2 linked regions of the Callithrix jacchus genome follow. The protein of the gene in region 1 interacts with the protein of each later gene in a biochemical or structural test. Links are inferred from orthologs where the notes say so. Each region holds a gene or a part of one and is shown on either strand. Other genes may lie near its edges.

Region 1 (3,800 bases):
TACAGTGGCAGAATCCAGCTCACTGCAACCTCCACCTCCCAGGTTCAAGTGATTCTCGTGTCTCAGCCTCCCATGTAGCTGGGACTACAGCGCCTGCCACTATGCCTGGCTAATTTTTGAATGTTTAGTAGAGACCAGTTTTTGCCATGTTGCCCAGGCTGGTATTGAACTCCTGAGTGAGGTGATCCACCTGCCTCAGCCTCCCAAAGTGCTGGGATTACAGTGAGCCACCGTACCTGGCCCCTCCATGATTTTTAAGTTTCCTGAGGGTTCCCCAGCTCTGCTGAACTGTGAGTCAATTAAACCTCTTTCTCAGTCTCAGGTATGTCCTTATAGCAGTGTGAGAACAGACTAATACACGCTTATTTAAATCCTTGAGGTTTTAATCTTCTCTGTATAGTCACCACCCCAATTAGAAACTCGAAAACTCAAGTCTCATTTATTATTTCTGGGTTAGTCAAACCTACAAAATTCTATAATGAAACATACAAAAACACAGACCACTGCATGCATCATACCCCACCAGCATTAGGGAGGTCATTTACTGTCTCCGAAATAAAACAAAAGACACAGTGTTCTGTTTCTCTTTTATTGCAACCCATTGCAAGGTCAAAGATTCACAGAAATATAGAAACTACAAACTGGGTGAATTTTCTTTATTCACTCAAAAAGACATTAAAGACAAAGGACCAGAATTTTCCATTACAGCAATATATTTCATAGTCTTTATTCTGAAAATACTGTTGACATTTTGGAGAGAATAAAAAGCCCTGCATTAAACGTGTTCACATGTATTTACGACATTCTAAGCAAAAAAAAGAAACTCTATATTGCCCAGAAAAATTATTTTAAGCCTCATTTCAAAGCATCTAATGAGAACACATTCAACAACCATCACAGGATCACTCAAGGTGATGCTTTTTTTCTGGCTGTTTTTTTTGAGATTAATGTTTTGAGGCTGGATATGGTATTTCTATGGATTTCTACAAATGTACCAAAGCAGTTTCCCAGATTATGTTGCATCAGGCTTTCTGGATTAGTCAACATTTTAGAGAATAAGTGCAAGTCCCCACCCCACCCCCACCCCCCAAGCTAAAGCATGTTATAGTGCTGTACTTCAGATTCAAACAATGCAACATTTTAAAAAATCAATTATACACTCTGAAACCATTTGACAATCAAACTGTAACACTCCAAAGATTATTACAACTTTGAACTGAAATGGTACCATCTATATCATAGATGGCTCTCCCTTCTTTTGTCTTTTTAACTATTTAAAATATAGTAAGACATATATAAAAATTAAACTTTTGCATATTCACTCAAGCTACTATTACTATACATACTGTCTTATAAATTAGTTTTGGATTAAAAATCAGTTAAAATACTGTGAAATAAGAGATTTCAGTGGTGGGGAAGTGAATATGAAAATGATATAGTTCAACGTGTAAGAAGAAATATAGTTTATTCATGTTAAACAGTTTTGTTCTTACACAGATTTTATTTCCTTCAAATTAAATTAGAAACCCATTTAGTTGTGGGAAAAATACTCATGGTGCTTACTGACTAGATTTTTCTAACTGATTGGGATTAAAACAAAAATGCCACATCAGAAACATGTTGACATAATCAAAGGAAACAGTTGATTACAAAAAAAAAGAGAATCATTGGAAATCAGTAAATGGCATTCAAATATAAAGCTATCTTTTGTTTTTTTTTAACAGCTAATGTCATGTTAGCAATGTGGGACTTAAAGAAAGTGAAACTCAAACCTCAGTATATCTGTTAAAGACCAAATAACAGTTACATTCACTCAGGGAAGAATAAATAGCAAATTCACAAGTCAGGGTTTAGTTTCTACTTCTACTGTGAAAGATAATCACTCTTTAGCTTAAAAAGGCTCCCTGATGTCCTCATTATAAATCTACACACAGGAACAGTTATTTGAGCCTGAGTCCCTATTATGAATTAATTGTAAAGATGTGTTAAATCAAAACACATATTCATTTACTGATAGGTCTCGTCTTAACTGAAGCTGGCAATCTTTAATTAAACAAAGAAATGCTTATTTCTGACAACTGTAAACAGAATTTCAATGAACAGATTTTCTAATTTTCCTTCTTAACTCATATATTAGCTAGCAATAAATCTCTGTAGTAGCATGAGAACTAGTCAAAAATGACAACATGCATATATCCAAAAATCCTGTCCCAAAACCCAAAGCAAAGCAAAAAAAGCGACAACAGTAGAAAGATTGTCTACTTATACCTCACTCATGAATCTTCTATTAATGTGACTACCCTCTCACATCTCAGAAATAGACTTTAATAATTACCAAAATTAGGAAAATAATGAAATGATGTGTAGTTTTTAAAGTAACTGCACACCATTAATTACACTGGTGGTTACAATGCTAAGATTAGCTTCAAATGTCATTAAAATATATCCTGACCAGTTACCATCCAGGAAATAAAAGCTAACGCAATGGTAACATAAAAGCAACTAAAATTTTTAGTGCTCAACAGAATGCATTTGTAGAATAATGAATAATTAACTTTTGTGAGCTGGCCAGGGGAATTCAGATTGTTGCCTCCATATAAAACATTTACAATAGGCTTTATTCTTTCTAGTCCCTAAGTCACCCAACAGATAGCAAGTTGGCCACCCGTGGATACATGAAGTTAGGCAGTGCCACAGTGGATAACATGCTCCCTTAGTGGCCTGGGGGAAGCCTTCTCTGTTAGGAAATGATCTAGAAAGACACCGCCCTGGTGCAGATGTACACACATATGTGAGTATGTGAGAGAGTGTAAGTGCCTGCATGTGTAACATCACTTCTGTTGTAGTCATCATCAGTAGAAGTGCACAATTCATCCCACATAAAAAAAGGCCTTCTTATTTGGACAGCTCCAAGTGGCAGCAATTAGAAGCTCAAAATAATACATCCATTTTTTTGACTCTATTAAAAACCTTTTTTTTTAAGAGAAAGAAGCCTTTGAAGTTAAAACTAAAAGGTTTGTGGCTTTCATAATCTTTAATTTCTAAGAAAAAAAAAGCCAGCTCACTTGGGAACAAATGACAACTGCACTTTTGGTATGCAGCAAGACACAAATACACATACTTGAACGCACACAGACAGGTGACAGTTAAAACCCTTCTGAGAGATCGGCCCCACAAATGTACAATTCTCCTTTGCTCTGCTGAATGATCCCAGTGGACTAGGTGGGGCAGGAGCATTAGGAGGAGGCGGCAGACATGTTGGGGGTCCAGCCCATCTGATAGGCTCTCTCCAAGGTCCTCTTGCAGTCTTGCAGGACAGTGCTGAAGGTGATGTGGGGATACTGTTGCACCAGCTGTTCCACTGTCACTTCATTGACCTGCAAACAAAGAAGAGCCATATCACACACAGGGACTACCAACACCACCCGCTGCCCACGCTCACTGGTGTGCTGCAGCCAGCTCACTGTGGCATGAGGAGCCCTCGCCTTGTTCCTCCTAGTGATGTGAAGGAGGGTTTTGTGAGAAGGTACGTGTCTCCTTTCATCTGACCTCTCTGATCTTCCGGTAAAACACTTGCCCTTAGGGATTTTTAAAATACATAATACCAAGATATCAAAAGTGTTCTCTAGAGGCATAAATGACTGATTTGTCAAGATCTTAACAATGTCAATTGAAAATCTAGTGCTTGGGAGGGAAAGAAGCAGTAAGACAGCTTTCTGCTTTGCATTGGATTTCATCATCAACCCAACAGACTTTTGAGGACAAAAGCTGTGGAATGTAGGAGAGGATACACAGGATTC
Region 2 (3,819 bases), on another chromosome or scaffold:
AGCCTCTTCCTGCTTGGAACCTCCAGCTTTGCCCAGGGCAGCGTTAGCACTTGGAAGGAGGAGATAACTGATGGGAAGGAGGTGTCTGGGGCAGAGCCACTTGCTGAATGGTCCCAGAAAATAAGGACAGTATCTGTGCTTCCCCCAGTTGGGCTCCCAGGCTGACCAACAGGCCAGTGTGGTACCCATGGAGCCGGGAAGCACAGATTCTTGTTGAGGTGCTCAGTCACAGGCTTTACTTGGTCCACATGGGCATAGAGCCTTCCAGATGACTTTTAATTCAAGGCTCAGCATCACAGAACTGATTGACCAGAAAATCCAGGAATGTGTTGAGTACAGCTCTTCTTTGAGGCCATTTGGAGAGTGTTTGGACTCAGCAATACCAAGGCCTGCACAAAGGCAGGGTCTCGGTGTGAAAAGGGCATCTGCAGATAGTCACTCCACCCCAGGCCCCCATTTCAGTCTAAGAAATAGGAAGCAATCTCCATCCACAGTCCTTTGCCTAACAAGGGAACCAATGCAGCTGGGGGAAGTCCAGCCTTCTGCTCTCCGGTGGCTCTTCCTTGTGTGGCCACACCCTCTAGCTGTTAAAGGAGAAACTGCAGGAGCGGCCTCTTCCCTGTGGCAGGCTTCCACCCTGTCTTCTACAGCAGTGACTGGGAGGTTCTGGCTGGAAGATTGGCAGAAGAGGAAGGATCACACCTCTCCTCAGAGGAGTAGGTTTTCTCATGGCCACATCAGCTCTACCAGTCAGTCTGGCGGGACAGGTTTGGGGCTCTGAAACAGGTAGAGGCCATTGTACTGGAAGGTTGATAGTAGAGGAGATGCTTTGCTTGGGATTTGGATTCCTCCTGGCTTCCCCTAATCCCTGGTTCCCCTGGAGGAGTCCAAGAGCTGGCAGAGACTATTATGCATTGATAATCAGGGCAGAACAAGGTCAGAGACCCTGCTCTTCCAGCATCTGTCCTGTGTTCAGCACCATAAGGGCTCAGTAAATACTGAATGGTGGCTGAAAGGATGGTGACCTTGGGCCACCAGTTCTCTGAAAGAACTCTGGCTCTTTGGCTCTTTTCAAGCAGGAGAGAGTTGACAAAGGCATTGAGACAGACGGCTCCAACCTGAGTGGTGTCAGTGCCAAATGTGCCTGGGACGACCTGAGCCGGCCCCCCGAGGATGACGAGGACAGCCGGAGCATCTGCATCGGCACACAGCCCCGGCGGCTCTCTGGCAAAGGTGGGCGCCGTCACCCAGCCTTCTCCCAGCCTTTCTCCTTCCTTTTCCCCAGGCCTGGTTTCCAGGCTCTCTAGGATGGGTCTCTAACAAAAACAACCCATTCAATGGTTTATTTCCTGGCATGATTTAAACAGCAAGTAAAGTCTTCCAGCAGAGTGGAATTAAGGGAGCTTTACTGGCCCATTTCTAGCTGTGTTTCCTGTGTGTATTTCAAATGCATCACCAGCAGGCACCATTGTATTTTAGATTTGCCCCTTGCAATCTGAGGTCATAGAGGTCAGTGGAAGCCTTAGAACAGTTACAGGAAAAGTCCATAGTCCACCCAAGTGCAAGAGAACAAGTGTTGGCCACCCACGGAATTGACACAGGGCCCAGCTCTGGCCTGAAGGACATGCCAGATCCAAGGCTCACTCTGGCCTCGAGCCCTCCCAGGCCTTCGACAAGAGAGGCGTGAGTATGAGGCCAGCTTGCAAATTGCCCCACCTCCTGTCATACAGATACAGGGTTAGGCGATGTGGGCAGGGCCTCTGCACTGCGTTCCGGATGGGGTCTTGGGGAAGGAGGATGTGGCTGTCCTGTTGGAATCTCCCTATGCTGACCTTGGCTACAGAAACAGTTGTGGTTTTTAGCAGAGGACGTCCCCAAATAACTGCAAAGGAAAAGCAGCCACTTACATATACATGTGTTGACAGCTTCTTTGTCTACTTCCTTTCTTCATTCTTCCATCTTTTTTTTTTTTTTTTTTTCCTCGAGACGGAGTTTCGCTCTTGTTACCCAGGCTGGAGTGCAATGGCGCGATCTTGTCTCACCGCAACCTCCGCCTCCTGGGTTCAAGCAATTCTCCTGCCTCAGCCTCCCGAGTAGCTGGGACTACAGACACGCGCCACCATGCCCAGCTAATTTTTGTATTTTTAGTGGAGACAGGGTTTCACCTTGTTGACCAGGATGGTCTCGATCTTTTGACCTTGTGATCCACCCGCCTCGGCCTCCCAAAGTGCTGGGATTACAGGCGTAAGCCACTGCGCCTGGCCCCATCTTTTATTTTTTGAAGAATGTCTACAGCCCTAAATAAAATAAACATATGATAATACTTATAAAAGGTTTTTGTTCATTCTGTAAAGAACAAACTTAAACCCCTAGTTCAAATATTTGAGCCCTTTTTTTTTTCTTTTTTTCTTTGAGACGGGTCTCTGTTGCTCAGGCTGGAGTACAGTGGCTTGACCTTGGCTCACTGCAACCTCCACTTCACAGGCTGAAGCAATTCTCCAGCCTCAGTGTCCCAAGTAGCTGGGACTACAGATATACGCCACCGACGCCCGGTTAATGTTTGTATTTTTTGTAGAGTTGGGGTTTTGCCATGTTGCCCAGGCTGGTCTTAAACTCCTGAGCTCAAAACAATCCACCTGCCTTAGCCTCCCAAAATGCTAGGGTTACAGATGTGAGCCACCACACCCGGCCGAGCCCTTTCTTTCCTTCCTGTTTGTTCTAATGGTATGCCAAGCCTATTGGAGGCTTAAAGAGAGGGTATACAGTTATTAGAATCATTTGGTTGCTTTTGACCAAAGAGGTGACTTAAAGAGATAGTCATACTCTTGTCTAAGATTTCAAGCATTATTGGCTTTTTAAAAAAAATTATAGAAGTAATCCATCTCACTGTAACAAGTTAAATACTTAGAAAAGTTAGTAATCATCTCCTTCACAGTCTGAGGCCACTCTTTGAGCAACTAATTTTAATTTGCTTTTTTGTATGTGTTTACAATTTGCAGAGATAAATCTTAGATCCAAATCTCAGTATAGGGGACCAGAGTAGTAAGCTTCACCCCAAAGACCAGCAAAGCACCTTGTGAAGAAATAATCCCACCAAGGGAACTCTTTCACCTCCTGGCCCTTGCCTCTCCATGGAGAGGCAGAGTTTCCTGGGTTAGGCCAAGGTGAGAGATGATCTCAGTATCTCACTGACTTGAGTACAAGGGGAAGGGGTGGCAGGGTCAGATGCTAGTTGACCACCCAGAACCCAGAAAGGTATGTGAGAGGCAGCTTCCCATTCTTGGCAGGGTGCTTGTGGCCTTAACGTGCATCCATTCTCCACACAGAGACTGACCACTGGGGATTGACCATGTTAAAGGTAAACCTCAGGCCTGTGACACAGGAAGGAAAAGGATGGGAGAGACCACCCTTCTGAACTCTAGAATTCTGGCTTCTACAAGAATGGCACTCTTCCAAACCAGAGCTTCTTAAGAACATGCTTGTCCCCTCACAGTCTGTAGTCACTCAGCGCTCACATCTGGATGCATAGAAAGGACCAGCATGGTAGTTTTTCTTAGTACCTCTGCTAAGCCAGGTTTCAAGAGCAGGGTGGGAGTTGCTGGGACCCCACTGGGCCACTGGGCAACTTAGTGGTGTTGTTGCAGACACAGAGCAGATCCGGGAGACCTTGAGGAGAGGACTCGAGATCAACAGCAAACCTGTCCTTCCACCAATCAACCCTCAGCGGCAGAATGGCCTCGCCCACGACCGGGCCCCGTAAGTTCCCCAGTGTCCCAGGGCTGGAACAAGAGGACAGTTTTGTTCTGAAGGGCCTGTCCC

What was found.
Region 2: of the proteins of FBXL17 (region 1) and SUFU, one has a biochemical effect on the other in vitro, tested with the Homo sapiens proteins (2 studies listed by BioGRID, with this or other methods). The link is inferred for Callithrix jacchus from reciprocal best matches to the Homo sapiens genes FBXL17 and SUFU.

The regions. Positions count from the first base shown.
Region 1 is NC_133503.1:102,275,603-102,279,402, reverse strand, and holds the end of FBXL17 (F-box/LRR-repeat protein 17), read right to left. Parts: intron 3,378-3,800; coding exon 3,237-3,377; 3' UTR 576-3,236; downstream 1-575. UniProt on the Homo sapiens protein: Substrate-recognition component of the SCF(FBXL17) E3 ubiquitin ligase complex, a key component of a quality control pathway required to ensure functional dimerization of BTB domain-containing proteins (dimerization quality control, DQC).
Region 2 is NC_133513.1:95,584,597-95,588,415, forward strand, and holds part of SUFU (suppressor of fused homolog), read left to right. Parts: intron 1-1,076; coding exon 1,077-1,233; intron 1,234-3,644; coding exon 3,645-3,756; intron 3,757-3,819. UniProt on the Homo sapiens protein: Negative regulator in the hedgehog/smoothened signaling pathway. Down-regulates GLI1-mediated transactivation of target genes. Down-regulates GLI2-mediated transactivation of target genes. Part of a corepressor complex that acts on DNA-bound GLI1.